2 linked regions of the Saccharomyces cerevisiae S288C genome follow. Changing the gene in region 2 together with the main gene of any one other region gives a genetic interaction. Each region holds a gene or a part of one and is shown on either strand. Other genes may lie near its edges. The genes, in order: ADY3 and IRC10.

What was found.
Region 1: of IRC10 (region 2) and ADY3, changing one enhances a phenotype caused by changing the other (phenotypic enhancement), as found in Saccharomyces cerevisiae (one study listed by BioGRID).

The regions. Positions count from the first base shown.
Region 1 is NC_001136.10:18,221-35,959, forward strand, and holds ADY3 (Ady3p), read right to left. Parts: upstream 10,556-17,739; coding exon 8,183-10,555; downstream 1-8,182. Other genes in the region: AAD4 (putative aryl-alcohol dehydrogenase), read right to left, coding at 1-346; YDL242W (uncharacterized protein), read left to right, coding at 739-1,092; YDL241W (uncharacterized protein), read left to right, coding at 2,415-2,786; GTPase-activating protein LRG1, read left to right, coding at 4,603-7,656; GUD1 (guanine deaminase), read right to left, coding at 10,765-12,234; AIM6 (Aim6p), read left to right, coding at 12,437-13,609; PHO13 (4-nitrophenylphosphatase), read left to right, coding at 14,076-15,014; YPD1 (Ypd1p), read right to left, coding at 15,195-15,698; GTPase-activating protein GYP7, read right to left, coding at 16,017-17,739. UniProt on the Saccharomyces cerevisiae protein: Involved in the pathway that organizes the prospore membrane (PSM) during sporulation. Mediates the assembly of the DON1 ring structure at the leading edge of PSM during meiosis II.
Region 2 is NC_001147.6:288,084-300,954, forward strand, and holds IRC10 (Irc10p), read left to right. Parts: upstream 1-8,994; coding exon 8,995-10,755; downstream 10,756-12,871. Other genes in the region: YOL019W-A (uncharacterized protein), read left to right, coding at 337-489; TOS7 (Tos7p), read left to right, coding at 815-2,470; t-SNARE syntaxin TLG2, read right to left, coding at 2,798-3,991; ESC8 (Esc8p), read left to right, coding at 4,446-6,590; calmodulin-dependent protein kinase CMK2, read right to left, coding at 6,694-8,037; YOL014W (uncharacterized protein), read left to right, coding at 11,610-11,984.

The sequences.
Region 1 (17,739 bases), on a different chromosome or scaffold from region 2:
CTTCTTCGATTGAACTCATATAATCCCACCAGTGAACGTAAAGTATATCAATCCAATCAGTTTGCAATTTGCGGAGAGAATCCCTCACACTCACATGTAAACTATGCTTGTGATTACCACAATAGTTGGCACTTTTACCGCCACCTACTTCATACTTCTTATAATCTCCGGTAAACTTGGTGGCAATTACAATTTGGTCACGCAACTTTCTTGATTTCATCCATTCACCTATCCAAATCTCTGACTCTTCATTTTGGTAACTGTTTGCAGTATCAATGCAATTACCTCCTGCTTCATAAAAAGCATCAAGAAGTTCAAAAGCCTGTTCCTTATTCATAGAGCCCATAAAGCCTGACCATGCATCGCCGATTGAAGCTCCTCCCAGAATTAGCGGTGAAACTCTTATGCCGGCAGTTTTAGAAAGAACCCTGAGACGTCCCAACTCGGTAGGTGGTTCAGGTAGAGGTTTAAATAATTCACTAATATTATTGAATAATATTTTGTAGCTATAGGAAGTGTATTCTAGTGAAATACAAAGCCGCTCAGTCAATTCGTCAGCTGGCCGATGAAAGGAAGAACTGCAACTGTCCTTGATCTGGAAATATTGTCATGACTTTTATATGGTTCAAAAATCTGCCCCCAATTTGTTCGAGGATATTTAGTGCAACTTAGTTGGGTCTTGGAACGAGGTCTGCTTACTAATTTTATGTTGACGGTTGAAAGCGGATTTTAAAACGTATGAATTTAGAAGAGAGCCAATCAAATAGGGGTACGCTTAATATTAAAAAAATATTAGTAATTGTTTGTATGACGAATAAAATTTGTAAGCACCTGATCCAATCCTTATTATTGAGCAAGAGACGTCTTGTTTCTGTACTCTTTGATAACTATCAAGGCGACATGAAACTAAGGTCATCTCCATCTGCCATTCCTCTAGTTCCGTCAACGAAAATTCTTCAAGCTATGGAGGCCCGGAACGACATTGTTGACAGTCTGATCATCAATAGTCACGCAACGGAAAGTGATCGCCGGACTTTAGGAGACCATGAGGTTAGACAATGTGAGGATACCAACTTCGGCTTCAAAATTTGATACAGGTTAATTTTGAAGGCAACATTTAGGTTCGGCCTTATTTAAAAAAACCTTCAGGTACGCGTTCAAGATCCCATTTTAAAGGTATAGGCAGATTGCACTATTTTACCGGCAAATGTGCGAATATCGAAACTGGAAGATGTTTTCAAGAAAATTGATTTAAGATCCATTTGTCGTGTTTAGAGTTCTCATTGTTCTGGTCAATGATTTCAAACTCAAAAGGCACAAGAAACTTACAAAATTTGTTTCTTATGAACATTACGCCATGTTCTTTGCGAGCATGTGCTATACAGTCTTGCTAGAAAATGGCCCTATAATTAGAAAGCTCAAAAAATAACCCAATGCTGCATCGATTTTTGGAGAAAGGGGGTCAATCATCATCTATCTTCATAAATAACGAGTTGCAGAAAAATTGGAAACTGGTTGATTTTGAAAAGTTTTCATTTTTCTGGCAACAAATTATAGCTACAAAAAAAGAAGTTATGGCGCATAAGATGCATCAATATATGGTGTGACCAGATTGGACGTAACTAGTACTCATGTTATTATTCATATCCTTCATTTTTCCTTCTTTTCTTCTCCTTCTCGAACAGTAACTTCAGATTGAAAGACGTGAGGATGCTTTAGAATGCACATTAAAATTAATATACTACTGGCCTCTTGTGTTTGTCATTGGCTTCTATTTTCAATAAAACATCCAGACAACCCTGCTGTTAATTTTGGAAAAAAAATTTCGCCGATTCTAATCATGTGACTCCTTTTCCCCAGGCAATACCGGAGAAAGCGTTCTATCTCAAACTATATAATTTGCGCTGCTCGTCTCCAAGCCCATGCTAGTGTTTACTTTCGGTTGTAAAAGGTAACTAGAAGTTTTAACGCAAGCATTGTATTATATTTTCCCACAATTGCTCTTAAGGACCTTTTTTTTTCTTGCGTGATCCTGCACTATTGAAAAGTCTTTATCAAAAATAGATGAAACTTTTTCAGGGTTCAACATTTAGAGGCTTTTCTCATATTCTTTACTCAGTTGCCTGCGAAGACCCTTCTGCCCGCTGCGCATTTTCTTAGAAAATCAAAAAAATTGCCTTTTCATCTTTTACCTTCCGAGTTGAATATGTTGACTATTTGCAAACAGGCGTATGATTGTCGTATATAACAGGGCACTTTCGGCAGTGAATCAATAGGAGGCGTATAAGAAAAGCCAATTAGTACCTATATATATATATATATATATATATATATATATATATTCCTTTATTATAATTCCTATCAGCGATTTTTGCATCACACCCAAGAAAAATCTATAATAGAGACACAAAAAAATGAACGTAACTGAAAATGCTCTATTGTTTAAGTGCGGTAGCAAGGGCTATATTAATCAAACCTATACGCCGACAGAAATTTATAATTGTGGGGTAGCTGAAGGAAAGAAAACTGCTAAAGAAAAGAACCCAACTTATTCAATTTTTTATGATACATTTCTCACTGGGCAGCCTGCTGAAAGTCCTGAAACGTTTACGTGTGGTTCGCATGGCTTCACAAATGCGAGTTATGTGGCAAGCGACTTTTATGCATGTGGTTTTCTGCAAGGGAAAGGTACAGAAACCAATGCGGGAATACATAATACAAGGCCTTCTCATTCTCTCGCCAAATTTACCATACTGTTCATGCTAGTGTTGTATACAATTGTCTAATTCTCAAGGTATGACACTTTGGATTGGTGGTCGCAGTAGCCACCATATAATTTTTTATCGTTTCTACATATAATACGAGACAGTCAGACAGAACTTTGGGTCGCCTGAGAAGAAAGACTATAAAAATGTAACCCGTCAGTAGGACTCATCTTAAAACAGTGGGTAATTTACTAAGGAGGCTGGAAAAACTGCGATAATCGGCTTATAGTACATATATATAGAATAATCATTAATCGAGCCTTTACCGCGAAATTCATGGATTTCTCAAAAACAAAGGTGCAATTACATGTTAAGCACCGAATTTCTATGCGAAACAGGTCCGTCTCATCAGTCATAGCTTTCCAAGTATATAAAACTTGAACGCAAAAGTGCGTCATCGACGCCTTTTTTTGCGCAAGGATTGTTACTATTCATTTAATGAACTCTGATGTCTTAATAAGCCAATGGTATCCATAAGTGAAGGTGAAGTCTACTGTGTTACATTAGCAAGTCAGAACTCCTATACGATACAGTATACTGCATTATGGGCACTAAAATAATTTAGATTATAGAAAATATCGATACTATGCTTCCACTTCTCACGAAGCGGCCATGTTTTAAATGAAGTACGTTAACGCTAACACAAGGCTTGACAACTTTCATGAGCGTCAAATAGTCTACGTGTGGGCTCACTTTTTCAGATTTCTTCTTGGCTTTTGTGAGATGTATAATTAACAATAATCATAAAATCGCTACATAAAACAAAGCATAAAAAATTACAGATTTCCTGTTCAAAAATCAAATCGGTCCAGTTCAGCTATTGTTCTGCCGTTGTTCATGCTCAGAAAATTGGACCATGGTGTCATCTAACTTTAGTTGGTCCCATTAAGCTCTCTTCTGTATATCATGTTTGCCATATTGTCATATCATCTGCTTAGTATTAAACCGTTGTGGAAAACAAGAAAATTGCGAATTACTAGTATAGAAAATGCATTCTAAGTCGCCTGTGATTCCAATAGCAAAGAAATTGATCTTAATGGAAGTAGGAAATAGCTGTGGCAAAGAGACAGGATACTAAGATTGGTTTAAGGCGAGGTCATACTTAGCTATTTCCTTCACCAACATTGGTTTTCGAACAGTCAAGAGATGAAAACGCAAAAAAGTGCACTATAAAGTAAATACTCAAACGTTCCCAAAACAAAACGAGAAGAAGCGATAGGCACCTCAAAACTGAAATTATGGGCAAACAATATAACCCGTAAAAGATCACTTTACGACCAGAACATAATCAACATGGGTGGCCCCCATGTTGTACTCAGTTAGCTTTTTGAGCTAGCAAATATATCAAGAAGCCCGCATGTGCTACTTACGTTTGAATTACTTCTCGTTGTAACGCACTTTTCTACAACGTACCTCACTAGTAAATATAACTTAATGCTTGCAGGTTAGCCCATCGCTACAACACCTCCCCACAAAGTATTTACTTCAAGAAATCGATCTTGGCGAGTATATCCTTATCTTTATGTAAGTATCTTTTTCGTCTTCAAAGTATGCCGGGTATTGATGGGCACGGAAGATGTAAACAAAATGGAAAACAAATAAGAACAGAATCTGAAACGTCATTTGAGAATTTAAAATATGTAAATCATTCCTCTCGAGCCAACCAAGGCTGTTCTTGCTAGAAACCAGCAATTGGGCTTCTCATTCAAAACAGTATCCGTCTTTGCCTTAACATTGTTATTTGGCCTTTATCCCAGATATACGCAACCGTATTTATTCAAATCCAAAGAAAAAAAGAGCAGACAAATTATCAAACAACAAGTACCGGAGGTGAGCAATGATTCAAAATTCTGCTGGTTATCGATCGCTGAATACTGCATCTCCGATGACCGTGCAGGTGAAGAATCAGAAGAAAATATGCGCCCGTTGTAACAAGTTAGTTATACCCGATAGCCAACGAACTAAAACAACTTTAAAGGCTCTCGGTAAATATTATCATGAAAGTTGTTTTACCTGCCAAGACTGTCAGAAACCTTTAAAACCGAAGTACTTCCCATATCAAGTAGACAAGACAAGTGAATCTATATTGTTATGCCAATACGATTATTTTAGAAGACATAATTTGTTATGTCATGTATGTGATACCCCATTGCGTGGATTATATTATACCGCATTCGGTTACAGATACGACGAAGAGCATTTTTCTTGTACAATATGTGCTACTCCTTGTGGGGTTAAAAAATGCTTCATGTACGGAAACCAATTGTATTGCAAGTACCACTTTCTCAAGTATTTTTCGAAACGTTGCAAAGGGTGCGAGTTCCCAATATCGGATCAATATATCGAGTTTCCTAAAGGTGAAGAAATACATTGTTGGCATCCGGAATGTTATGGAATTCATAAATATTGGCATGTAAATTTAGCAGCAGAAACTGTTGGTTTGCAGTACCTTCCCAAGCTGGAATATAACCCAAATTCCGGAGACAAAGATATAAACCCAACTGCCTACGAGTTAGATAAACAAATGCAGGCGTTTAACTTTATTCTATCTAAAACGTGGTCGGTTTTATATCGTTTTGAGGAAGAGGCAGCTTCTTGCATTTCTGATATGTTTCAATATTTGACAAGCAATGATCAGTTAAAGGGCATAGAGTCTACGGGTCTGTTGGTACTAAAAATCGACTGTCTTTTCCGGGGACTGGATACTTTAAACCTCTCGACGAACAAAAGTATGCCAGTTAACAGTGATCAAGAATGCATTGAAAACAACGCAATGGCGGCCAGTAAATACAGCAAGTTTCCCAAAAATCTGTCCACAAAAATTATGATATATTTACAACTCTTAAGAAAGTTAGGGACAGAAAACAAAAACGAAACTATCACAATTTCATCTTTTATGTCTGTTATTACTGGATTAGCCCATTTTCTAAAACTGTTAACAAGATTTGGGCTATATACGGCTCTAGAAAACAATAAGTTGACTCATTCTGTTAATCCATTGTTGAGGTTTTTAAGAGAAGTAGAGAAAAATGAGCTTTTTGAAAATAACCCGTTTCAGTATATAAAGACTCCTGTTAACGCCACAGATAGTTGCGCTGGATGCAATAAATACATACAGGAGGAATGCATTCAATTTTATGAGCACCGGTGGCATATTGCTTGTTTTACTTGTTCTTCATGCCATAAGAATATAAATCCGAGGAGTTTGACGGATCCCACCTTTAATAAAGAGAAAAAAAAGATACTATGTTCTCACTGCTCAATTGATGATCCGGCCTCTGTGCCGGGTTTCAAATTTGTTACTAAGCTAGCACAACTAATTTTTCTTCTAAAAATTGCCCTAGTCAAATCAAGAACTGTAATGTTGAAATCGAAAGCATCTAACAAGGTAGGCAGAAACTCTTTACAGAGTACTATGCTAAAGGAACAAACTTACATTAGGACACTGAATGATATTAAAAGATTGAGATCTAGAAGAGAAAGTGTTCGGGTCACTCATAACAAACAACAAGCTAGAAAATCAGTGATACTGGAAACTGCAGAGACAGATTTAAATGACCCGACAAAACAAGGAGATAGTAAAAATCTTGTGATTCAAACAGATGACCCATCATCGAGCCAACAAGTGAGCACACGTGAAAATGTTTTCAGTAATACTAAGACGTTGACACTAGATGATATTTCACGTATTGTTGCCGCTGAACAAGCAAGGGAGCTAAGACCTAACGCTTTTGCACACTTTAAAAAACTAAAAGAAACCGATGACGAAACTTCGAATGTTGTTCCCAAGAAAAGCGGAGTTTATTACTCTGAATTAAGTACGATGGAACTCTCGATGATAAGGGCTATCAGTTTGTCACTGCTAGCTGGTAAACAACTGATATCGAAGACTGATCCTAACTATACTAGCTTAGTCTCAATGGTCTTCTCGAATGAAAAGCAAGTCACAGGTAGCTTTTGGAACAGAATGAAAATCATGATGAGCATGGAGCCTAAAAAGCCCATCACTAAGACTGTTTTTGGTGCTCCTTTAGATGTGTTGTGCGAGAAATGGGGTGTTGATTCCGATTTAGGTGTGGGGCCAGTGAAGATTAGGATCCCCATAATTATTGACGAGCTAATATCATCTTTGAGGCAAATGGATATGTCAGTAGAAGGTATTTTCAGGAAAAATGGAAATATCAGAAGACTGAGAGAACTAACTGCTAACATCGACAGTAATCCAACAGAAGCTCCAGACTTCTCGAAAGAAAATGCAATCCAATTATCTGCTCTTTTGAAGAAATTTATCAGAGAGCTTCCCCAACCGATTTTATCGACAGACTTATATGAACTATGGATTAAGGCCGCGAAAATTGATTTAGAGGATGAGAAACAGCGTGTTATATTGCTAATATATTCCTTATTACCCACTTACAATCGCAATTTACTGGAGGCACTTTTGTCATTTTTGCATTGGACGTCCTCATTCTCTTACATTGAGAATGAAATGGGATCAAAAATGGACATTCACAATTTATCCACAGTCATAACACCTAATATTTTATATTTGCGACATAAAGAAATTTCCAATGATAACGTCCCTGACGAACCAGAATCAGGTTTAGTTGATTCATTCGCTCAAAACAAGGGAGAAAATTACTTTTTGGCTATTGAGATAGTTGATTACCTGATTACTCACAATGAAGAAATGGCAATGGTTCCGAAATTTTTAATGAATCTTTTAAAAGATGTGCAGTTACAAAAATTAGATAACTACGAATCAATCAACCATTTTATTTCCACCGTTATGCAAAGTAAAACAATCGATTATTCCGAATGTGACATAAAAACTCCTGTCACAGTCAAAGATTCGACCACAACGGTCATACAAGGTGAAATAAACAAATAATAGGCAGAAACTGTAAGTTTCCCCTCATTTTCCTTTTTTTCTTCTCCTTCCCCTCAGATTTCGAGGTTTGTCGTTCTTATTAGAGTTCTTTGCTTTTTTCTTTGCCTATTTCAATAAAATCTTACCAGTATGCTATGGAAATGGACATTATTTTATTATTATACAACATAGTATATTCTGACTAAAATGGAATTAGAAATTGTAACATTAGTATGTACTTATAATCATTTGTATCATTGTATTACTCGCCTTTTGATGTAAATTTTGTTTATATCTCAGAACATCTCCAACAGCAGATCAGAAGTTACATTGTTCTTGTAAGTGCTTAAGAAGTCTGTTAGCAAATTGAAATCTTTCAGAAGAATATTCCACCAAAATTTCGGAAAAGCAATACCAGCGGTAAAATATCTGCCATGCTCTATATTATGTGACTTTATTTTAGGTGCACCCCCCACCAGTAACTTATTCTCTAAATAATAATTAATGACACCATTGAATATATTAGTTCTAAATAAAAAAAAAAAAGCTAAGAAAAGAAATATTTAAACAACGCTTGCAAATCATACTCAAGAGGATGCTTTACTTCAGCAATATCATGATTGTTCAAAAACTCATTCATTGCGACCTTTCTTCTACTTTTGAAATCTAACTGTTTACCAAAAACCTTAAGGTTCAAATCATTAGCAAATTTTGTGAGAAGTGTAAGCTCACATCTAAGTTGAATGACAATTGTTGGTACAATTTTTAAGAAGGTTTTTAATGGGATATCCAACACAATTAATAAATTTTTGATTAGATTTTGCGATTGCACATAGGTAAGGTCTGTCAGAATATCAAGACCCAAGGAGTCGTACTTTTCCTTCGTTATATGTGGAAAAGATTTTCCAACAGTTTCAAAATTAAGTTCGGTAGAAGGATCACCATATAGTTTTTTTAAATTCAGCTTCTCTTGGAATACATCTTCTTTTAGTGATAGAATTGTTTCTTCGAGTTTTAATATTTCACTTTGTTTTCCAGCTAACTCGTCAGTAATTTTCTTATGTGTGTTTTCTGACTCTTGAATTTGAGTGCTCCATCTTGAAGCAATCAAAGCCTGATTCTGAAGTTTCTCAACAATTTCCTGGTGTTCATTCATGTAATCGTTCAATTTATCTTCGGCATTTTTCTGAATTTTTTCACTTAGTATTAATTTTTCTTTTAACTCGCTCTTCAGTTTTTGAAAGTTTTCTTCCTTGAGGTTCAGGATATCATGCCATCTCCTTTTTTCCAAACGAAATTGTTGTTCTTTTGTTAACGCCTCTTTTTGAAGATATTTTATTTTGTGACTGTGCTGCTGTTGCATAAAATGTAATCTTTCATTAATCAATTTAAAGACAGAAATGATTTTTTCAAGACGTATACGGTCATTCTTTTCCAAAAGTTCTATCTTTCCTTTTAATTGTTTGTATTGCTCCATATTTTCAAGATTTTTGATATCTTGAAAATCCGGATAAAGCTTGGCAAAACCGTTTTGAAACATCGAAGGGGAATGGCCACATTTCATTTCTTCTAGTATGAATTTACCAAGGTCTTTCTCAAAAAGAGAAAGATTTTGCATATAGCTGTAAACATCATTTAACCTTTTCTCGTAAAACGAACCATTATCATGTAATTTTTTATTTTCATCTTGAGAAAGTTGCAAATTGCTTTTCAGTATTTCAACTTCAGATCTTAATTTTACTATAGAGTTATTCGATTCGTTAATATCTTTTAGAAATTTATCATTTTCTTGCTGCAAGTTTAGGATTTGTTTTTGCTTCCTGTATAGTTCCGAAACTAAAATATTTCTTTGAGAAAAAGCTTTACATTTAGTTTTGGCACTAGTCACTTCATTCTTCTCCTTCTTGCTAGCGTTTTTGTTTTGAAAGTCTGTAATTTTTTCTTCTCTAATTTTTTTAATTTCTTTGCGAAACCGGTCCTGAACAATGTTGAGCCTTTTTGATGCAGCTTTTCTTTCGTTGTGGAATTCCTTCTGCAAGTCTTCTATTCTTTGAAGTTTAGCATCATTCATGCTATTAAGTTCTTCTAGTTCTTGAATCCTGTCATCCTTCTCTTCTAGTTTTTGTCTTAGTGCTTTGATCTCTTCATTTTGGGACTGGAGCTCATCTAATACCTTGGGTAAACTATTTTCTTTAGAAATACTTCCTCCATATGATGAAGAAGATAGCCTAATTTCTCCTAATTTCATATATTCGGACTGTTCTTCATCTGGAGTTTTAGATGAGCGAAATACGTTCTCTAGATGCGCAACCTCTATATTCTCCTCCAGACTCTCATTGCTTACAACATAATGCTCATCATTTGAGATTGCTGCGACTTTGTGGGGATTCGTGAGGAGCTTTGTAGGTGTAGAAGAAAATCTATTCACTTCAATACTATTGTGTACTTTGTATGTGGTAAATTTACCAGGGCTTACATTTCCTAATGTACTGGGCTTTCCTGCAGGTGACAGAGCCTGCGAGCCTATTCCTACAGTTGGTAAACCACCCCTTTGTAGAAATTTATTAGGCGATTTTAAAGTATTTTTTTCCGTAGCATTTTCCAATGTACTAATGTTACCAGAAGGTGAAGAGGCTTCTGAACCTGCCCAACTCTCTGAGCGGTTTCTTCGGGAACGCCTATTCGACAGTTTTGATATAATATCAGAAGAAATACTTTCCTGCACATTAGATTTTTCAGTGGACGTAGGTACTTCAGAGTCTATCCAAGTTTGTGAACGCCGCTCTCGAAAAGGTTTACTTTCTGGAGACTTAGTTAAAGTGCCATCAGTAACATGTCTCATCTCCCCCTGCTGGTCGCAATCCGAGTTTTGTTCCTTTAGGGATTCAGGCTTATTCAAAAATGCTAACCAATGATTCATATTCGGAGAAGTTTGTTGTATTCAACTATCCCATTCAAAATCCCAAACCGAGTTTTGCAATTCTTTCACTGGCAAATCTCTTTGTGTTCCTAATCTTAATATTGTACAATGGGCGGCTAAAGCGCGATACGCAAAAGAAATTTGTACATATACTCAAATTACTCATTAATACTTGGAACAAGATATAGTAGCCCTCTAAACATATACAACTAAATCTGGTAGACTTGCTGGCCGGCTACCCAAACTTTAGTGGTGTTGCGATCATCACCGTTAAAGAACCATTTTGCGATTATGTCTTCATTAGTAAGCAGCGGTGGGTTCTTATAAGGGTCTTGCCCTTGCTCTTGCTCTTGCTCTTGCATTTGATCCTTCTCCTTTAGCTGCCAATGAAACATATCCACGTTTGAGCCGGGAGCATTGGTATCGATCATTTGAGCGTCAAACTGCTTACCGACGTCAAAAGTCCCCAAGGTCTCATCCATACGCAAGACTTGTGCTCCGCCCATTGTAGCAAGAAATAGGCACTCGGAGACTGAAAGTTTTGCATGATCAGTTTCTCTCATTGCCAAATGCCTTGAAACTGCAAAGGCCTGCCTTCCGGTGGTGAGTATGCTACAAGAATGACCGGCTGAAACGTCGGTGCCTAGACCAACCTTTATGCCCTGGTCCAGCAACCATCGAACCCTACACTCTCCAGAAGTCAGAGAGGAGTTGGAAATGGGACAATGAGATATACCACAGCGACGCTGTTTAATCACACGCGCTTCGGCATCTGTTAGATGAATACAATGTGCCAATACTGTTTTTTCTGTGAGCAGCCCATATTTGTCGTATACATCAGTATAGCTCTCACATTCGGGAAATAAATCTTGAACCCACTGTATCTCCTCCTTATTTTCCGACAAGTGGGTTTGAACGTGTATGTTTTCATCCTTGACTAGCTTGGACAACTGTTGCATTAGTTCTCTAGAACAAGAGGGCGCGAACCTTGGTGTCACTATAGGATTTACGAGGGGATCACAAATGGTTTCCCGTATGTACTTAACAACTTTCACAGTGCTTTCAAAGGAAGTTTTAGTATCTTCAATATAATACTCGGGACCATTGGTATCCATGCACACTTTTCCAACAAGAACACGCTGCCCCAATAAGGAGCTTAGTTGAGCCAAGAGCTTAGTGGACTTGAGATCAATGGTATTATAGTAAGCCACAGTCGTTGTACCGTGAGAAAGCGTCTTACTTATTACCTTATTGTAAACTTCTCTCGCAATATTTTCGTTTGCTAGTGCGGCTTCTATGGGGAAGGTATACTTCTCTAGCCAATCCAGCAGGGTAGAATTCCCAAATACGCCGACATTTGGATATTGCGAGACATGGTTATGCGTGTCAACAAAACCTGGAAAATAAAAGCTGTTATTTCGAGTCTTGTCTTTTCCAATTATGTCAACCACCGTGACATCCTCTGGTGATAAGCTACTATCGTGATCTAAACAATCTTTGACAGGATCGAGTGAATTTCTGTTCACAAACCTGATGATTCCGTTGAGAACTCCAACAGATGTTTTCTCTCTGATTCTCAGCTCTCCTAATTTAGGGGTATCTACAAAGGTACCAAAAAAAACTAGAAACTTTCCATGTTTGTCGTTGAATTTATCAAATAATAAATCACTTTTTGTCATATCCTCTTCAAAGGACAGCCCAATTCATATATTCATTCAATAAAATGTTGTTCTTTTGCCAATGGCCTGTTTTAAAATCCTTATCTTGTCTCCTTTTATAATCCGAAACTATCCAAACTTCCGAGTGATAAATCGCCGGATAGGCATAAAATATGACTCGAGATAAGACCAACAAAGATAAGTACCTCGGTTTAGTTAAGCGATGTTAGGACTGAAAGGGTGTCTAACTATTCTTATTGGATACGTTATTGCTGTCTGTGCTTTGTTTTCCAGTAGGGGAAGAAATCCTTCATTAACTGATTGGGAAAAGTTAAAGGACCAGAAAATATCGAATATTGATAACTTTGGGTTGACCGGTCAACATCTTTTAGAATTTTTCCAGGAAAACTTGCCATTTCTAAGTTTTTCAGAGGAAAAGTATCGTCACAAACACGTTTCTTTATATTATGATGTATTCAAAGAATATATCTTACGTCGTGCCAGTTCAAAAAAGTGTTTACCAGTAGACTCTGCTATCGCAAAGTTGAACAAAGATGTTAACCCAATGCCAGTTCACTCCCATAATGACTACTGGAGGAAACTTCCGCTTTTTGAAGGTCTGGCCTATGGTGCTAGTAGTACTGAAGCCGACGTGTGGAATATAGATGAAAAGATCCTAGCTGTGGGTCATAATGAAGCGTATTTGGACCCAGTTGAATTGACATTAGACAAGCTATACACTGGCCCCCTCTTGGAGATTTTAGACGAGGTGAATTGCCAAGATTCAGACGCCGATCGCAAAAATGGTGTATTTTTCAACTCTCCAGAAACTTCACTCTTCTTTTATATTGATTTCAAGTCGGATGATAACGAACTAACTTATAAACTGCTGATGGAGCAATATTTCAAATCTCTGATTGATTCTGGATATTTGACATATTACGATATGAAGAAGGATGAAATTATTTGGAGACCTGTTACTGTGATACTAACGGGCAACTACCCGACGTCATTGGATATTTTAGACAATGGAAATGATAACGGCTATTTTGAGTCAAGTCAAAGGTTTGCATTTCTAGATGCGCCGTTGTTAAGTTTGGAGCCCAAATACTCAAAGCTATCTGTAGCTGCGACGGTTTCGTTCAGCCAATTAATGAAACATTGTGGTTCTGATCATTGGAAAGTATCGCTAAGAGGTCGTATGGATTCGAATGAGATCAGTTGTGCTAAAAGCATAATTGATGGTGCTCACGCATTGAAACTTAAAACAAGAATTTGGGGAGCCCCAACCTGGCCAGCTAACCTGGTGGAAACTATTTCTCGCCAAATTATTCATGACTTGGGTTCCGATTTACTTAACCTGGACAATTTATTCATGGCATCGTCATTGATATAAGTGGCTTGAGCTGTGGATAAGAAAAGCCATATATTTATATAAACATTTAGATATGAATAGGAAGTAGATTGTTCGACGCAACTACCCGTTCAAGAAGTATAATGGGGAATGGTCTCATCTTCCCTCACAGGATATAGTTCTCTGAAGAGATACATACGTTTGTGTATACTATGCTTCTTTATCAACTCAAGTTTTGTAGAGGAAGACGTTGAAGATGGTGATGTGACATCTTTACTATTCTCCAGCACGTTTTCAGTATTTACTTAATCGTATATTAATGACGTCCCTTATCTATTAACTTTCCGGTTTTTCTTTTTTTCGGTGAATGTTCTTTCCGTTTTAGTGAATTTTTCAATTGTAATTGACGCAATCGGTTTATAACAAGCAGACATAAATATCAAGCTCGAGCCAAATCACAAAAAAAGCCTTATAGCTTGCCCTGACAAAGAATATACAACTCGGGAAAATGACTGCTCAACAAGGTGTACCAATAAAGATAACCAATAAGGAGATTGCTCAAGAATTCTTGGACAAATATGACACGTTTCTGTTCGATTGTGATGGTGTATTATGGTTAGGTTCTCAAGCATTACCATACACCCTGGAAATTCTAAACCTTTTGAAGCAATTGGGCAAACAACTGATCTTCGTTACGAATAACTCTACCAAGTCCCGTTTAGCATACACGAAAAAGTTTGCTTCGTTTGGTATTGATGTCAAAGAAGAACAGATTTTCACCTCTGGTTATGCGTCAGCTGTTTATATTCGTGACTTTCTGAAATTGCAGCCTGGCAAAGATAAGGTATGGGTATTTGGAGAAAGCGGTATTGGTGAAGAATTGAAACTAATGGGGTACGAATCTCTAGGAGGTGCCGATTCCAGATTGGATACGCCGTTCGATGCAGCTAAATCACCATTTTTGGTGAACGGCCTTGATAAGGATGTTAGTTGTGTTATTGCTGGGTTAGACACGAAGGTAAATTACCACCGTTTGGCTGTTACACTGCAGTATTTGCAGAAGGATTCTGTTCACTTTGTTGGTACAAATGTTGATTCTACTTTCCCGCAAAAGGGTTATACATTTCCCGGTGCAGGCTCCATGATTGAATCATTGGCATTCTCATCTAATAGGAGGCCATCGTACTGTGGTAAGCCAAATCAAAATATGCTAAACAGCATTATATCGGCATTCAACCTGGATAGATCAAAGTGCTGTATGGTTGGTGACAGATTAAACACCGATATGAAATTCGGTGTTGAAGGTGGGTTAGGTGGCACACTACTCGTTTTGAGTGGTATTGAAACCGAAGAGAGAGCCTTGAAGATTTCGCACGATTATCCAAGACCTAAATTTTACATTGATAAACTTGGTGACATCTACACCTTAACCAATAATGAGTTATAGAGGAGCAATGCAAAATCTAGGGGTAGAATTACTTTTTGAAAAGGAAAAATATTCAGGTTTGTTGTTTTTATGTAAGTTGTATGATTTGATATACATATATATATATATATAATATATATTGTACATGTGTTTTTCCGGGGAAGAATGGATTATCCGGAGGTGTGAATAAAATGATGACGATTATAGGTTTGTGTTGTAATATTTAGATAACTCAATTCTCGCCAGTTTGAACTCCAACCTAGACTGGTTCAAAGCTTTTGCTATCAAGATGAGATATATGGAATTTTCGTCTTTATCGTCCACTTGTATCTTTATTTCCTCGTCATCTTCATCAATATTGATTCCATTAATAATCGATTTATCGCTCAGAGTGTTGACCAATTCGGTCTTGTTGGGGAAGAAATGTTCCATTTTTCTTCCCAAGTTTTGAATTCTTTCACAAACCCAGGCAATTCTTTGTAAGCCTAATGCAGCAGAAGAACCCTTTAAAAAATGGCCCAGATTGTCTAATTCGGTAAGATTTTTTTCACCGTCCAGCTGTCGTTGCATTTGAGCAAAAGTTGTTTGTGCCTGGTCGATAAATTGAATAATTAGACCTTTAGAAAAATCGGAATCATCGTCATCCATAGATATAATTTCATTTAAGATGGTCCAATTGATGATTTCTGAGGGAATAGTAGACATTATTGTGTGTATTTTCTTGTTTCCGAGAACGAGTGTTGTTATTTCTTTTGAATTTTTCAAAGAAATAAAACTATTACACGTCAGTGGTTATCAATGATCCAGAGCACAACTATCGACCAACCCAACCGGTTTAGAAATTAAAAACAATAATGTTCCTAAATATAGGTTCAATTAAATTTGATAAAAATATTAAACTTTTTATGTAATTTTTCTTCAGTTTTTCCGTTTCGGGCGGGTTACGGATGTATTGATGATTATGTGGCATAAACGAATTATATCTCCGGTATTCAATATGTAAAGTTCCGTTTCTATTTACCACTATTTAACGGAATTTTTGCTCCTTTGCCCTTCATGTCTTATGATAGGTTTTTTAGAAAGAAGCAGGGTCAACCTCTCGCTCTGACAAGGCAATACGCCGGTAGAGGATGAGGATGAAGAGGAGGATACGTTTTGTAAATCTCTTTCCATGACGTGCATCATTTTCTCAAACTTCTTGAACAAAAGCTCTGCTCTAACCATTAGGTCATTCCAATCCAACTTCCCGTTAAGTTCATTAAAAAATTTTAATATTTGGTCGAACTGATTTAGATGTTGTAAAATAGCTTGTGAGTTTTTCTGTAGAATGGCCAACATGAAGAATAATTGGAATTGTGAACTGTAGTAGAAAGTCCAGAAATTCTCCCAAATGTGCATAATATCTTCCATTTCAAATTCTCTCTTGAACCATACTAGAAGCATTCGAAAGCAAAAGAACAAGTTTCCTGAATCACACTTGTTTAAATGTTCGCTCAATTCGGGTAGCATTAATTGTACCAATTCCACGAGAGTTAACATTTGTTCATGGATGCCACTCTGGTCTCTTAGAAAATTTCTTTCCATAATGTCCATGAAGTGCGTAAAACACCAAAACGTTTTCCATTCTTCCTTCATGATGACATAAATAGGCGATAAAAGATCGGTCATCCCCTGCACGTAGCCTAAGTTTGTGTTGTAGACATTATAAGTGATAAGAATGTTTTGTAAATGTATCAAATGTGGGTTCCTGACTCCATCGTCTGCATCATCGCTCTCGTCATTAGCGGATTCGGGGCTGGTACTGTTATTTTCATTTGCTGGGAGTTGTTGTGGCGGTGGTGGTAATCCATCGATGGTATTGTATTGAAATATCTCCAAGTTTCTATCACAGCGTCTCACATCTTTAGATATTCTGAATAATTGATCGTTCCAATATTCCTCTTCATCTTCATCGTCAAATTGTAAAAAATCTTTTGACCAGGTTAGTTTCAATTGATCGTATTCCGCGGCTAAAGTTTGATCGATTTGTACCCTCTCGTCTTGAGAAGAATCCCACGGATATATTTCTAAGAGAAAACCCCAAACTTTCCCTCGCAAACTGTCATTTTCTAACCCACCATGAAATATGAAATCCTTAACTTCGTTTACCGTGACCCTCAGCCTCCCATCGTTCTCATCCCATAGCGAATTCCATTTCGCTTCCGTTAAAGGAAATTGTCTTTGCAGAGCATTATTTATTTCAGTATCACTTAATTCATCAGTTAGATTCAGGTCGTTGAAAATGTTATTCCTATACGAATCAAAGAGTTTGTTCTGCTTTTGATACCTCTCAGCTTCCTGTTTTACTCCTAATGACCAGTTTGCCAAATACACTCTTGCAGAGTCATAATCCTGTTCAATTTGTTTAACCTTCTCATTGTTCAGAAGCTTTTGCAAGTATTCATTGTCGATTTGTGATTTTTGTATGGGTGAGTTGTTAGTCAGCCAACTATCGATAAAATTGGTAGACTTGGTAGTCACGTCTGCTATCTTGCTCATTACGTTCCATTTCCATTCTTGGAATTTCTCGTTTAGTTTCACACCGGCGGTAGCGAGTTCAGTTGTATCTTTCTTCGAATTGTTATAACTTTCCAATAGATCCTTGGAAACGAAATTTCTCAAATCATTCAAAGAGGGATTTACTAACCAAAACTCTGGCTCTAAGTTTGATTTCTTGAGTTCCATCAGTTCGTTGATTTTGTTTCTC
Region 2 (12,871 bases):
TTGAAAAATTATCATTTGAATACGTGGATGAAGACTTCTTCGAGCCAGGCCGCAATAAAATTAATAATATATATAGACATCAATTCTTGACCTACACAAAAATAGCTTCTCTCGGTAGCCAAGTTGGTTTAAGGCGCAAGACTGTAATTTATCACTACGAAATCTTGAGATCGGGCGTTCGACTCGCCCCCGGGAGATATTTTTTTACTTTTGCACATCGCTGGTCTTAGCTTTTTTACTTGATTCGCATTGCAATCTATCTGCCAAGAATGAACAAGTATTTTTTTCCTCTGCATCTTTCCCTGCCGTAGGAATCAAATTTGCAACAAGTCTGCAATGTCTAACACCTTTGTTGCAGTCGAATTCTCGTGGCTGTACGCAATTTCTCTTATCCTACCGTGTGAAACAATTCGCGTCGCGTGGGCGCCGAAAAGGGCTTATCACGGCACATCTGAAGAAAAGAGACGGCTGGCTCCAGCTGATATTTAGATATTTTTAGTTGAATAAAGAGGCAGGCGTCAGCGATATTGCATTGTCGCTGTGGTGGGCAGAAAGCCACGGTAATGCATGTCCTGTTGTCTCTTATCCTTGTTGATAAGAAACCCTCTTGATCAGCTAGTCATAATTTTGTCTCTTCTTGCATTCTCTTTCCGATATATAACTTATATCTTCAGGTGTCAGGCAATAGAAACAACAAGGCACAGCGTTAAAAGACCATCATTTCATTTTAGCTTGTCCAAGCACATACCATTTTTCACTCAAGCTATAGCAGAGAAGTTAGTAAACATTAATAGATTATAATATAAGAAAGGCTATGAAGAAAAATTCTTCGGTAGTTTTCTTCCTTGTGGGTCTATCACAATTCGTCACTATGGCGTTTCTCATTATCGGATCCATTACGGCTCCAATTTTCAAACAAATAGGCTATTCTAAATATGATGAGATCACATACGGTACATTCGGCTACTGTAAAGAGGGCTCCTGCTCAAAAGCAAGTTATAATTATCACCCCGATGAGCTATCAGACAGTGATAGCAACTGGAAACTCAATAGCAACGCTAGGTCTATATTGGGGAAAATCATCTTTATCACACCCATTGCTGCTGGTCTTAATTTTTTGGGATTTCTTTGTACCATCATGAGCGTTTTATTAATTAACGTGCTATCCAGTGATAGAGTTGGTAGTGCGTCTGCCATCATGTTTTTTGTTAATTTGACATTTTCCACTCTAGGCTTTCTTTCTGCTTCTTTGATATGTATCGTGGTATTTTTACTGTTTTACCCACATGTAACCTGGTGTTCATGGGTCCTGATACCAGGAGCTGCTTTATCTCTACTAGTAATTCCTTTGATATTCTCAGCTTATTCAAGAAGCTCAGGCTCAAGGGATGATGACGAAACCGAGGAACTGGAAGAAAAGGGCATGCTGCTGAATGACCCATATCTAAGTTCGAAGTCCGGGAGATTCGATATCGACGCTGATAGTGAGGCCAACCTCCGTGGTGATTCAAGAACGAATTTATTGGGTGACAATTTTAAGAACGGTACTAATATCACTGTTGTCCCAGATATTATTTCACACAATCAAGATCCGAAATTATCAAACATAACCACTTCTACCACGTCTGATATTTCTACTTTCGATAAAGAAGCAAAGGACATGGAAAATTCAAATGGTTCCGGACTTAATGAAGAAGAGGACGATGGCATGGCCTATGACAAAAGGAGGTCAACTTCAACGTATTCTGTCATTGAAAGTGAAAGTGGCTTGAAAAATGGGAGTGTTTCTAATAATTATGTGAGAAACAATGGTAGTAACACCAGCAACAATATAAACTATAAAGTTCCGCTAGGAAAAACGGAAATATCATCCAGTGCATCATTAGCGTCCTCAGACTACTCTCAAAGAGAGGTCATACCGCACAGAAATCCTTCGAGACTACTAAACGACATCATGGAGACCTCCTTCAATGAACCAAACGATAGCCACATCAACAGCATGTCCTCCTACAACGATAAAGATTCAACGTTGACTTCAATATCACAGAGAGGTGTCAATCCGGAAGTATACAATCAAATGCCTCGAGAAACAGCCGCTGGTCCTGCAAATATAAGGCCGTACGCTGGTCAGCCACACCCGGCGCCATTAGTGTATCCCCAACAACGACTACAACCACAACAACAGCAACCACAGCAGCAATATCATCAATACAATTTATATCAAAGAACTACTCCTGCTGGTCCAGATCCTTCTAATGTTATTTTACAAAGCAATCCTTATTTCAACGTTGCCCCAAACCAAGTGCCACAGCACAGAAATCCGGTACCAGGCGTCGGTTTTGCTCCGAATCCTTTACCAAACCAAAGCCCGATAACACAAGGATATAAGCCTGCCTATAAGAGGAGAATGCAAAACAAAAACTTGCCCCGAGCTACTACTTCACTGAACAATCCTTACGGATTTAGGTAAAAAAAGAAAAATGAAGGTTCTTTTTTTTTTTTTATATTCTACAAATCACAATAACCACCAACTTGTATTAAACCATATTTTATCATCTTCAGGAACTACTTATGCACAATATTCGTTCGCCAGTCTTTACTTGCGGTTCAATTTTATCCCATATAAATTTGTATTTTATTATCATACTACATACTTTATTGAAATCATATATTAACCTTTTCACTTTTCTCAAATAGAACGAGCAACAGGTCATATGAACGCTGACTAAATCTCTCAATTTTCTTCAAAGCATATTATAGTTCAAAATCGCGATGCGGTACCGTGAAAGTTTTGTCATCAAAGTAGGTCATCCAAAGCATCATTCTCAGATTCTGTTACTTCAACGATACTCGGCAAGTTGCTCTCTTCGTCATTAATATGGGTATTACTGCCGTCATCATGACTGTTATTAACTGTTTTATTATCATCATTGTTGTACTTGTTGCTACCATTATTACGACCACCACTGCCACCGCCATGTGGTTTCAACATAACAAAGAAAAAGAGCGCTATTACGCACAATGTTAGTAATAAAATGACTTTACATTTTTGAGTTCTCTTCTGGTAGTGTGTTGCTTTATTCAACTCTTTATCTGCACTTTTTAGCTCTACCACTGTATTTTCCAGATTATAATCAATCCTGTCCACAATAGTCCCCTGGTCAACAACCAAATCTTGCATTTCCCTGAAAATAGTGCTCACTTCTAATACACCCCTTGCCAACTGAGTAATTTCTTCGTCACGTTCTCTCAAATATGCTTCTGCAGAAGTGTCATGAAGCTGTTGCTGTCTCTGCAACGTCCTTTTTGAATAGTCTTCAATATCGAGGCCCTCTCTCTTCTCTCTTGCTGCCTCCTCTTCCTCATCATCTAATAATAGCGTGTTCTCTGCACTGGCCTTATTGCGGATAGGTTTCAAATCATCCTTGTTCAAGAATTTCAAGTAATTATTTTGTAATACTCTGAACTTATTACTTTCAGTTTGTATCTTTTCTGCATAGATCTTCTGTAGATTATCTAGTATAATCAGCTCTTCTCGACTTAATTGCTTACCATCCACAAATTGAGAGTTGTATATGGTCTTTAATCGTTTCATAACAGCGTAACATTTCTGCAGCATCTGAATTACTTTGAAACTTAGATCTTCAATCAGCGCCTCATCATGACTCTTGTCTTCAAAGCCAGGTAACGAATTCTTCCTATAAACCTTCGCCAACTGCTCACTTAACCGTCTCACCTCCAGAAGATAATCATCAACATCCTGCGCTATATCAATAAATATGGGTGGTAACGCATCACTGTGATTCTCATGCTTGTTTTTTCGTTCATCTGTCAATCTGGCCGATATATCGTGAGACATATTCATCATCGGGTATGTACCCATTTCAATATCTTGATCATCGCCCAAGGGTGCTTTCCCAGATGAGAAAGTTATGTTATGAGGGAAAGTCCTACGGTATGATAAAAATAAATTAGTTCTATCTCTAAACATGTTTGTAACGACTGCCTAGATCACAAAGCGATAAAATGTACATCAATTGGAGACTTTCCTGTCTTGCCGTACTTATAGTCTATTCTGCTATAATCTATACGCACTCACTTTACACCTTAAAAGCCCAATACAAACCGGTCCAACAATTATAATTCATCTATAGGGCATATACAAAAAAAAAAGGTAGGTGTAAAAGATAATAAAATACAACCCTATTAGCTTTGATAAAAAATTAGTAGGGTTAGAATGTCATATGGTAGGGTGATATAAACGCGTGAACTTTACGCGTTTATATGTACTAAGTTATTTTCGGTATTAGAGAATACCATATCAACGACTAACTCTTAAGCTTTCGATTGTATGAGCTGAAGAAACGGCCTGCTCATTACCAGGATATCTCTTTTTTTTAGACATCAAACAAGAAAATAAGGAACAAGAAATTTGAGGTACAATAATGACAGAAATTATTGATTTAGACTTGGTCGATGACTTTATCAAGAAACCTATGGTCAAACAACAGAAAAACCAGTCTTCAAAGCCTAGGGTAAAAAGAAGGGGTCAGTTGACCTTTGATGATTTCAGAAACATCAAAATTGTAGAAGAACCTGTTGTACTTTCTCACAATAGTTCAATTGACGAATCACTGGATGCTGCTACCCAAAATACTAAAAAGCGGGAGAAATATGAAGGTACCTGTGATGAAGAAATGAAAACTAAAGAAATGGAGGCAAATATGGCAAGCAAATATTCTAATATCAAAACACATTCGAACGACACTAACAAGGTAGAGTCGATCAGTGAACACACTACTTCTAATAATAGACCATTGAATACATTAAACTGGTCACCAAATATTCCTTTACGATATTCTGACTTTGCAAAGTTTATGAGTGATGAGACGGTAACGGAAAGCAATTGGGCGCCTCCCCTTTGCACCCCTCTCCCATATGCAGGCGATGTTATGAAGATCCTTTCTTTTATCGTCAAATTTAAATGGGTGTTCAGCGACGATCTACTGAACCTGTCATTTCAAGATGTGGAGATAGGACTAGAATTAAAGGTGGCTGGCCATTCTGCGAAGAATATTCGAATTTGTCAGGATAAAATGAATCTACTATTTTGCAGTCTTTTGAGGTTATTATTCTGCTCCGAGAAAAGAGCAGACAACCAAACTCATAGAAATTTCACGCTAAAAAGATTTCTTAGTTTGAAAAATCCATATGGAAAACTGGTTGGCAAACTCAGAAGCTTAATCCAGGAGTGGGGCTTACCAAAAGAATGGCGTGGTAATAGTGATATTTTATCTACTCTAAATTTTAATGGAGGTGGTTTGTTGACGATGGAACCATTAGATAGAATAATATTATTGAGATGCATGATCGATTGGAATTGTAGCTACTCCGCACTTTTCCATAATGAAATTCAAAGGCTCACTCACTTGAAAGGCGATACAGGGTTCAACCATCAAACTTTTCACGCCAGCAGGTTTGCTATGTGCGGGGCCAATAACATATTAGATAGTTGTGAAGTTTTATGCTCTTTGATGAGTCAAAAGTTGGAAAATCGAAAGAAAAGGAAGCCCAGCGACAAAGGAAAACTGAGTAAGATCAATAGTCAGATGAAATTTCTAAAGGGTGTTCGGAAATCATTGAGCGAAAAAGTAACTACAGACAGATTACGAGCTGCAGTTAAAATAAATGAAGAATGGGGTGAATATTTTGCAAACGAATTTACACACACACCAATTGATGATCCCACCGTAGACGAAATTTACAAGTTAAGGACATCAGAGTTTATGATAGCGAGAATTCCACGAGTTGGAGATTTCTACTTACCACCATTCTGGATTGGCAACGAATGCAGTTCAGTAAACACTAGTTACAGTTTCAATGACATGTCAACTTATCTTAATTACTTCGTAAAATTCAAAGAGGAGGGTACAAAAATACTGCCTGCAAAAACCGCACAAAATGAAAACAAGTGTCAACTTAAACTTATATATAGGAACACTCCTGCATGTATCCGTAATTTACAGTTCAATGATGTTCACTTTGCCGAGGTGCCGCATTGGTTTGAAGTTGCAGGAGACTCGAATTCTTTGAGCAACTTCATTGAGTATTTGGAAAGTTTATCATCACTTACTGAAAATGACACCGATGATACAAAAAAGGGTATAGACAATCTAATTGAGTTTTTGAAAATTTTCAGTATATTCATAAATGAGACTATTCAGCGCATAACTGCTGCCCCTACAGGCAGTACTGAAGGACGTCATTTGCGAACAAGCTCTCAGAGAAGAACCACGGTGCATTACTCGAGTGATGTAAATGGTGACGTTTCCGAGGAAAGTGAAAATGAAGTTGACATTGACGTTAGCGATGACTATGATTCAGAATATCTGAGTGAGGAGAATACATTGACAAGAAAAGGTGAAGATAGGACAGATAAATCTTTTGGGAAAAGAGAATTACACAATGGCGCTAAAGATTGTGATAGGAATTGTGATGATATAGAGATCTTCTCAGAACCCGTTAGGCAACTACAAGATAATTCTCGGGAAAAAAGAAGCTTGAGGCGTAATGCCAGAAAAGGTCTATAGTTTGAATGCCATGAAGTGTAGCTGCTGGTTACATAAAATCGTCACTAGCTTTACACATTAAATATTATATACGAATTTATGTACACGAATTCAAGTCCGTAATTTAGTCTTCTGACTTCGACTCCCGATCATCATGCAGTGTTTTCTTGCTATCGTCTTCCTCTTCACCAGCCAAAACTTTATGTTTATTCTTTGTTGCAGCTTTGACAATTTGAACAAAGGCATCCTTTGTTAATGCAGACTTCAATTTCATTTGCTCTTCTGTTAGTTCTCCCCCTTTCTTCTGAGATTGCAGACGTAAATCATCCAACGAATGTGTGACGCCGTCCAGAAGACTTTCATTGAGGGAATTCTCTTCTATATCGTTATCGCCATCGTCCCCTAATGAATACATATTTCTTAACCTCTTAATTCTATTATTAAGCTTCACAATTTCAATAGCGTCACGTAATTTCTTACGCAAAGAAAACCCTTTCTTAACGTCTGGTAAAATATTACTAGTTTCAACTCTCTTTGAAGTAATCCATGGATCGTCCAGCAATTCCGTAGCAGTTGGTCTGTCAGCTGGATTCAATCTCAATGCCTTCAAGATGAAACGCTTAACATCAATAGATATGTTATCCCAATATGGCATATGGAAGGTTACCGGGTATCTCGAAGCTGTACATTCCTCCATGAATCCTTCAACGCTTTCGGCAATAAAAGGAGAATAACCGCACAGTAAAGTATATGTGATCACACCAATGGACCATATATCACAAGGCTTACCATGTCCATCTTGTGTGAGGACTTCTGGTGCCACATAACCCAACGATCCGGCTGCTTTGTATATCAAATCCTCCTCCCCCTTCAATTGTTTAGCTATACCGAAGTCCGCAATTACCAGAGGCGAATTTTCTGACTTATCAACATACAAAACGTTCTCAGGTTTCAAATCCCTATGAACAACATTCTTGGAATGCATATACTCCACGGCACCAAGAATCTGAACTATGATTTCAACAGCATCCACTTCTGTGAACTTCCCTCTAGACAGAATTCTATCAAATAATTCACCTCCTGTTGCCAGCTGAGTGACAATATAGAACTTATCCTTCGATTCAAACCAATCCTTGAATGACACAATGTTCGGATGACTCAATTTTTGAAGAATGGACAGCTCTTCGTACAGCATCTGTAATTGCACATTGTTTCCCTGCAATGCCTTCTTCAATAAGATCTTTATAGCAACATCTTCATTTGTGGACAACTTTCTGGCTTGTCTCACAACACCGAAGGAACCGGCACCCAGTGTTCGACCGAAAATATAATTAGTCCTGTTGACGTAAGATTCAGGTTGACCGCTTAATTTATTGATAAATTTTGCTACAGGGTGGCCGTTTAGACGCTCTGGATCTTGGACATCTACATGAAATTCAGAATTTATGACCTCTGACTCCTTGGGCATTTTTGGTGTCTATATTTATATTGGCGATGTGATAGAAGAAAAGGTGACGAAAAGATTGATCAACGAATTGAAGTTCTGCTGATCTTGAACAATATCGTATTGTTTTATATTATTAGGATTACCAAGAGAAACAGCAATGGGTGGCTTCAAAGGGGGCAGGGTTCTAAGATAAGCCTCAATTATTCTCTTCGCGCTGCGTTAAAGCGGGCGCTTCTCCGAAAGTACAGCACGTTCTGAAAAGCCTCATCAACATAGAATCCATATGATGCTCAACGACTGGAAGTAAAAACATGAAAATTGAAAAAGAATATGCCTGCAGGAGCATTGGGAAGTACATAGTGGCTTATAGACTGCCAAAAAAAATCAGTACGGAAGCAAATGAACCTTATGTTATCCAGGGAGCGGTGAGTAACTGAGTAAAAACATTAGGCAAATTTCTTCCAAAAAATCATTGACATTGCCTGTCAATTGAGTAAATGAATAAATAAATAAATGCAAAAAAGCCAACCTAACTCTCCTGCAATGATACAATGAGTACTGTATCAACGACCATTAGTAAGTATCATGAAGTGTTTTGTATATTTGGAAAAAACCAGGCTGCATTGCCCCAGTGGTGTATTTATATCTACTGCAGTATGTTCTATTCTGTGAAGTTCCTAAAAGACACCGAGGTTTCTATGGCCTAACCATATTGTTGTTCTAACGCCTTTTCTATGTAAGGGTCCTTATTGTTCAAAGCCCCACCGCTCCTTCGCGCGTTGTGCCTATCATTGTGTCAGTAAATGTTAGGATACGGGAAGTGTATATATTAATTGAGTGGACACAGAAAACGCTCTAGAAAGGAATATCTCACAAAGAACTGTAATATAAGCCTACATTATTGATTTTTTTAGTTCTCTTGCCCTTATATTACCGTAAGTCTGCGGTATAATCACCTGGCCTAGTGCTTTTTCAATCATGTTCATTGAATACTCTAGATTACCAGGCTTCGAAAGCATCAATATATCATTTTCTAGAGGCATGCTAAGATTGGCTAAATTTACTAATTTCGCTACATACAAACAAAAATTAGAGTACTTCAGGCTGTTGGCAGGTTCAAACAAATACATCCAACGAATCAGCGTTGCTGACTTTGAGAGACATCCAGATGAAATCAATTATATTTACATTATACTAATATCCATTCTCCAAATGGAAGAGTGTATGCCAGTCCTAGTTCTATGTCCAACTGTTTATTGGGTACGATTCCACTGGCCTGGAAAATGTTCCGTGAACAGTTTGAACTTTACGAATGAAACGTTAAAAAGCGCTTTCCATGCTGTCTTCACTCCCTATTTTGCACTAATGAAAAAAGTTCTTGGAAGGATTAAAAACAACATGTTGCTATTTGCAGAACCTCATGCAAATTTAAATAATTTGTTTGTCAAGCATTTCCACGATCTCATATATAAGAGCGTAAAGGATGAAAAAACCGGCGAGGCAATTCTGTATTTGAGAACTAACGTTAATGTTCCAAATGTTTTTATTGACGATAAAAGAGCAGTTTTTCATGGTGACGGTATGAAAATTGGAAAATTTACCGGCAAATTTTTATGCTTTTCCTTCAAACGAACAATAAGATGGTCAAAATTAGATTCAGTGGATTCTTTTGCGGTTACGACAGTAAATTATAGAGTATCTGTAAATTGGGAAAAGACACCAAGAAAGACTTTCCTTTCTCTAGACAGTGACACCAAAAATTTACACTATATATCGAAAAAGATATTGAATAAAAAGGGAAAGAACGCCACTACATCAAAAACAACAAAAAGTTCATGCACAAGTGAGAACGTTTGCGATGATAAAACATTCTCCGTCGAATTCCCACTTACAACGTCAGCAAAAACTGAATATTTGTTGAGAAGTAATTTTTCTTTAGAAAAAATTAATGAAAGCAACAATCCTACCCTTCAAGAACTTACTTTAAACCGTACACATCGCTTATACCGATCAAATTTTCGCAATGAACAAAGCACCACACAGAGGAAGTTTGAAAAAATCGGTAGAACTGTCTCTACTGATTCAGGCAATAAACTGCTTACGTTTCCGGAACAAAAGGCCACAAGAGATAGTAACCCCTTCTCAATCGAATTGACACATGCAACAGTAATTTCCAGCGACGAAAGTGCCTTAAAAGACACTACTAATCAAGCGATAGCCGAAATGCAACGTATAACTCCTGCTATTGCAAAGACAATCTCGAGAAGAACAGCAAATTGGGTCTGCTCAAACCCAGCTCCTGATCCGTATGGGGAACCTTCAACGTGGTCCAGAATTTTGACCCCTAATTTGAAAATAATATCGGAATCATCACCATATTATCCAGTCCATCTAGCTTCACCAAATTCTACCTTTAGTAGAGATCAAAGTGTAAGAAGTGTTGTCATGAGGAGAAGTTCTGTATGTGTTGAAAAACAAAATAGTTTCTTCAGAAATTACGAACATTTCAAAAATATATTGTCGAGAAGAACTATTAAGGTTAAGACATCATGTCCTAGGCTGAGCGTTGACGTAAGTGACAACAAAAGAGAAAATTTATCACAAGAACACCTCATTTTACCGAACAAATCTAGAGAAAAAGTCAACCGATTTAAAAATTGCCTACATAGAGTTGCAGAAGCGCTCAGAGCTGCCAAAGAAAACTGGGATCAGCACAATCCCAGGAACTCTATTCATTAAGTACTGTTAGTTTTTATTTTGGGACACCCTTGACATATAGTTTAGAACTTTACCTACTTTACCCTTGTAAAGTTTCTTTCCTTACTTAGCGAAACTGTACTGAATAAGTTGTGTAAGACAGAATCTTTGATTTTTTCCAGGAATAATCATCACTGCCTACTGCTACAACAGACTAGTTTACTCTCCCTTTTTTCCGTTTTTATTCCGACAAGGGGCATGAACATTCAATACTAAATTCTTTTGTGCTTTTTTTGGGAAGCCTTTTCTAATAAGTACCAGAAGACACATTTTTATGTGACACTACTTTAAGCCTCGAATGTTTTTTTGTGCCCTATTATTTCTAAGCAAAATATTAAACAATCTAGGCCGTAATTAAAACGCCTATCTTGGTACAGTGTTACAGCGGCTTATACAGTTTATGTTAAACTTAAAATTACATAAAGTTTCGAGAACTTCCCCTTAAGAAGGGTCCGGGCGCAGGCAACTGAGCCTACTCGGAATAAACATCGATGACCGTTTTTGGAAAAAGGGTTTGTCGCGGCATATAATGGATACTGAAGAGGTCGCCTGAAAACCTGAAAATTTTTTAGCCACCATAAATAATAAATAGTTATATATATTAAAACATCATTTGCTATTTTATCAAAATTCCGTTGTAGCGTGGTCAATTGTTCAACTATTTCAATTGTTCAGAAAAGTGAAGCTACTTAAAAGTAGAACAAAAAAGAGTTACTCGAACGTTGAACTCTTTGATTATTTAAAGATTTCAGTTTAACAAAAAAAGTAAAGTAACGTGAGAATGTCTGATTCAACAACTTCCCCCACAACCACATTTTCTACTTCATTATCACCAAATGCGACCACATCATTTTTTTTGTGGTAACATGGGAGTGATGTATACGGCCATGTCTGGATACGAAACAGAAGACGCACAAGCCTACTGGGCATGCGGTAGAGCATATGAATCAGCTTTTGCAACGTTGACTAAAAAGGTTCCAGGAACCACATTCTCAGCTGATATGCCAACATCTACTTGGCATGGTGTCCTGGATTGCGGCTATTCCTCTTCAATTAACGTGGCAGAAAATAAAAGTTCGCCCATCGATTATTGGAATTGTGGTAGAACATATGCCAGGAATTATGCTCTGTCCGATGCGCTTTCACTGAAGCCAACGAATATGTTACAGTACTTTCTATTAGTATTATTTTTTATCTGCATTATACTATGAGAAAAGCTCATTAATATTTGAGCACTTAGATAAAGTTGCATATGTGTATGAATACATTCTGAAGCAGCCATTAATTATTAATTTATTCAAGGGCATAATCAGTCCAAAATTTATGTTTTTACAATTATTTTTTTTCTCGTTGTTGGTTTCTAAATGACCTAGGAGAATTATGTATAGAGATTAGAAGCTTTTCGACAATATAGACTTCATAATAACGAAATGATTTTACTTATGTCTGCAATTATTTCCTCATGCCTTCCTGTATTATCGCTTGTTAGTCCTAGTACGTTATTTGCACGCCTGTTCCGACTGAATTCGATGAGAGTTGGAATCTATGTCACATTTAGCACCGTATAGGCTAATATTCTAATAAGCGTGACAAAAAATTGGAGTGTTTTACTTGTAATTGATGAATATCAATTCAATGCCCCCATAGCTTTTTTTTACGGGTGATTCTTTTTTTATTGTATTTTTCCACCACGAACCGTAGATGGCTTATTGCATTTCTACATGAAAGAATAGTAAATGTGTAGCCTTTGTTACGTGAATAACTTACTTATCCAAGTATTAAAAGAATTTTGGACCAGATTTCTTCTTCTATTACTATCCCTCTAATTGAAATATGAGTGATTTTGAGATAATTGTTGGAATTTCATCGTTGTTACAGGTTATAATATTAAATATACAAAATATGCTGGAAGTTCTTCTTGAGTATATAGGAATTCACAAAAGGAGAGTCGATATATCTACATATTATGATAATGTTTACTTCTTCTTCCATTTTATATGTTATCATTTATTATCCTATTGCATTATCAACCTTAGGATTTCTGCTTCCTTTATATGTGATAGCTGTTCCTTAATCATTATGTCACCTTCCTATGCCG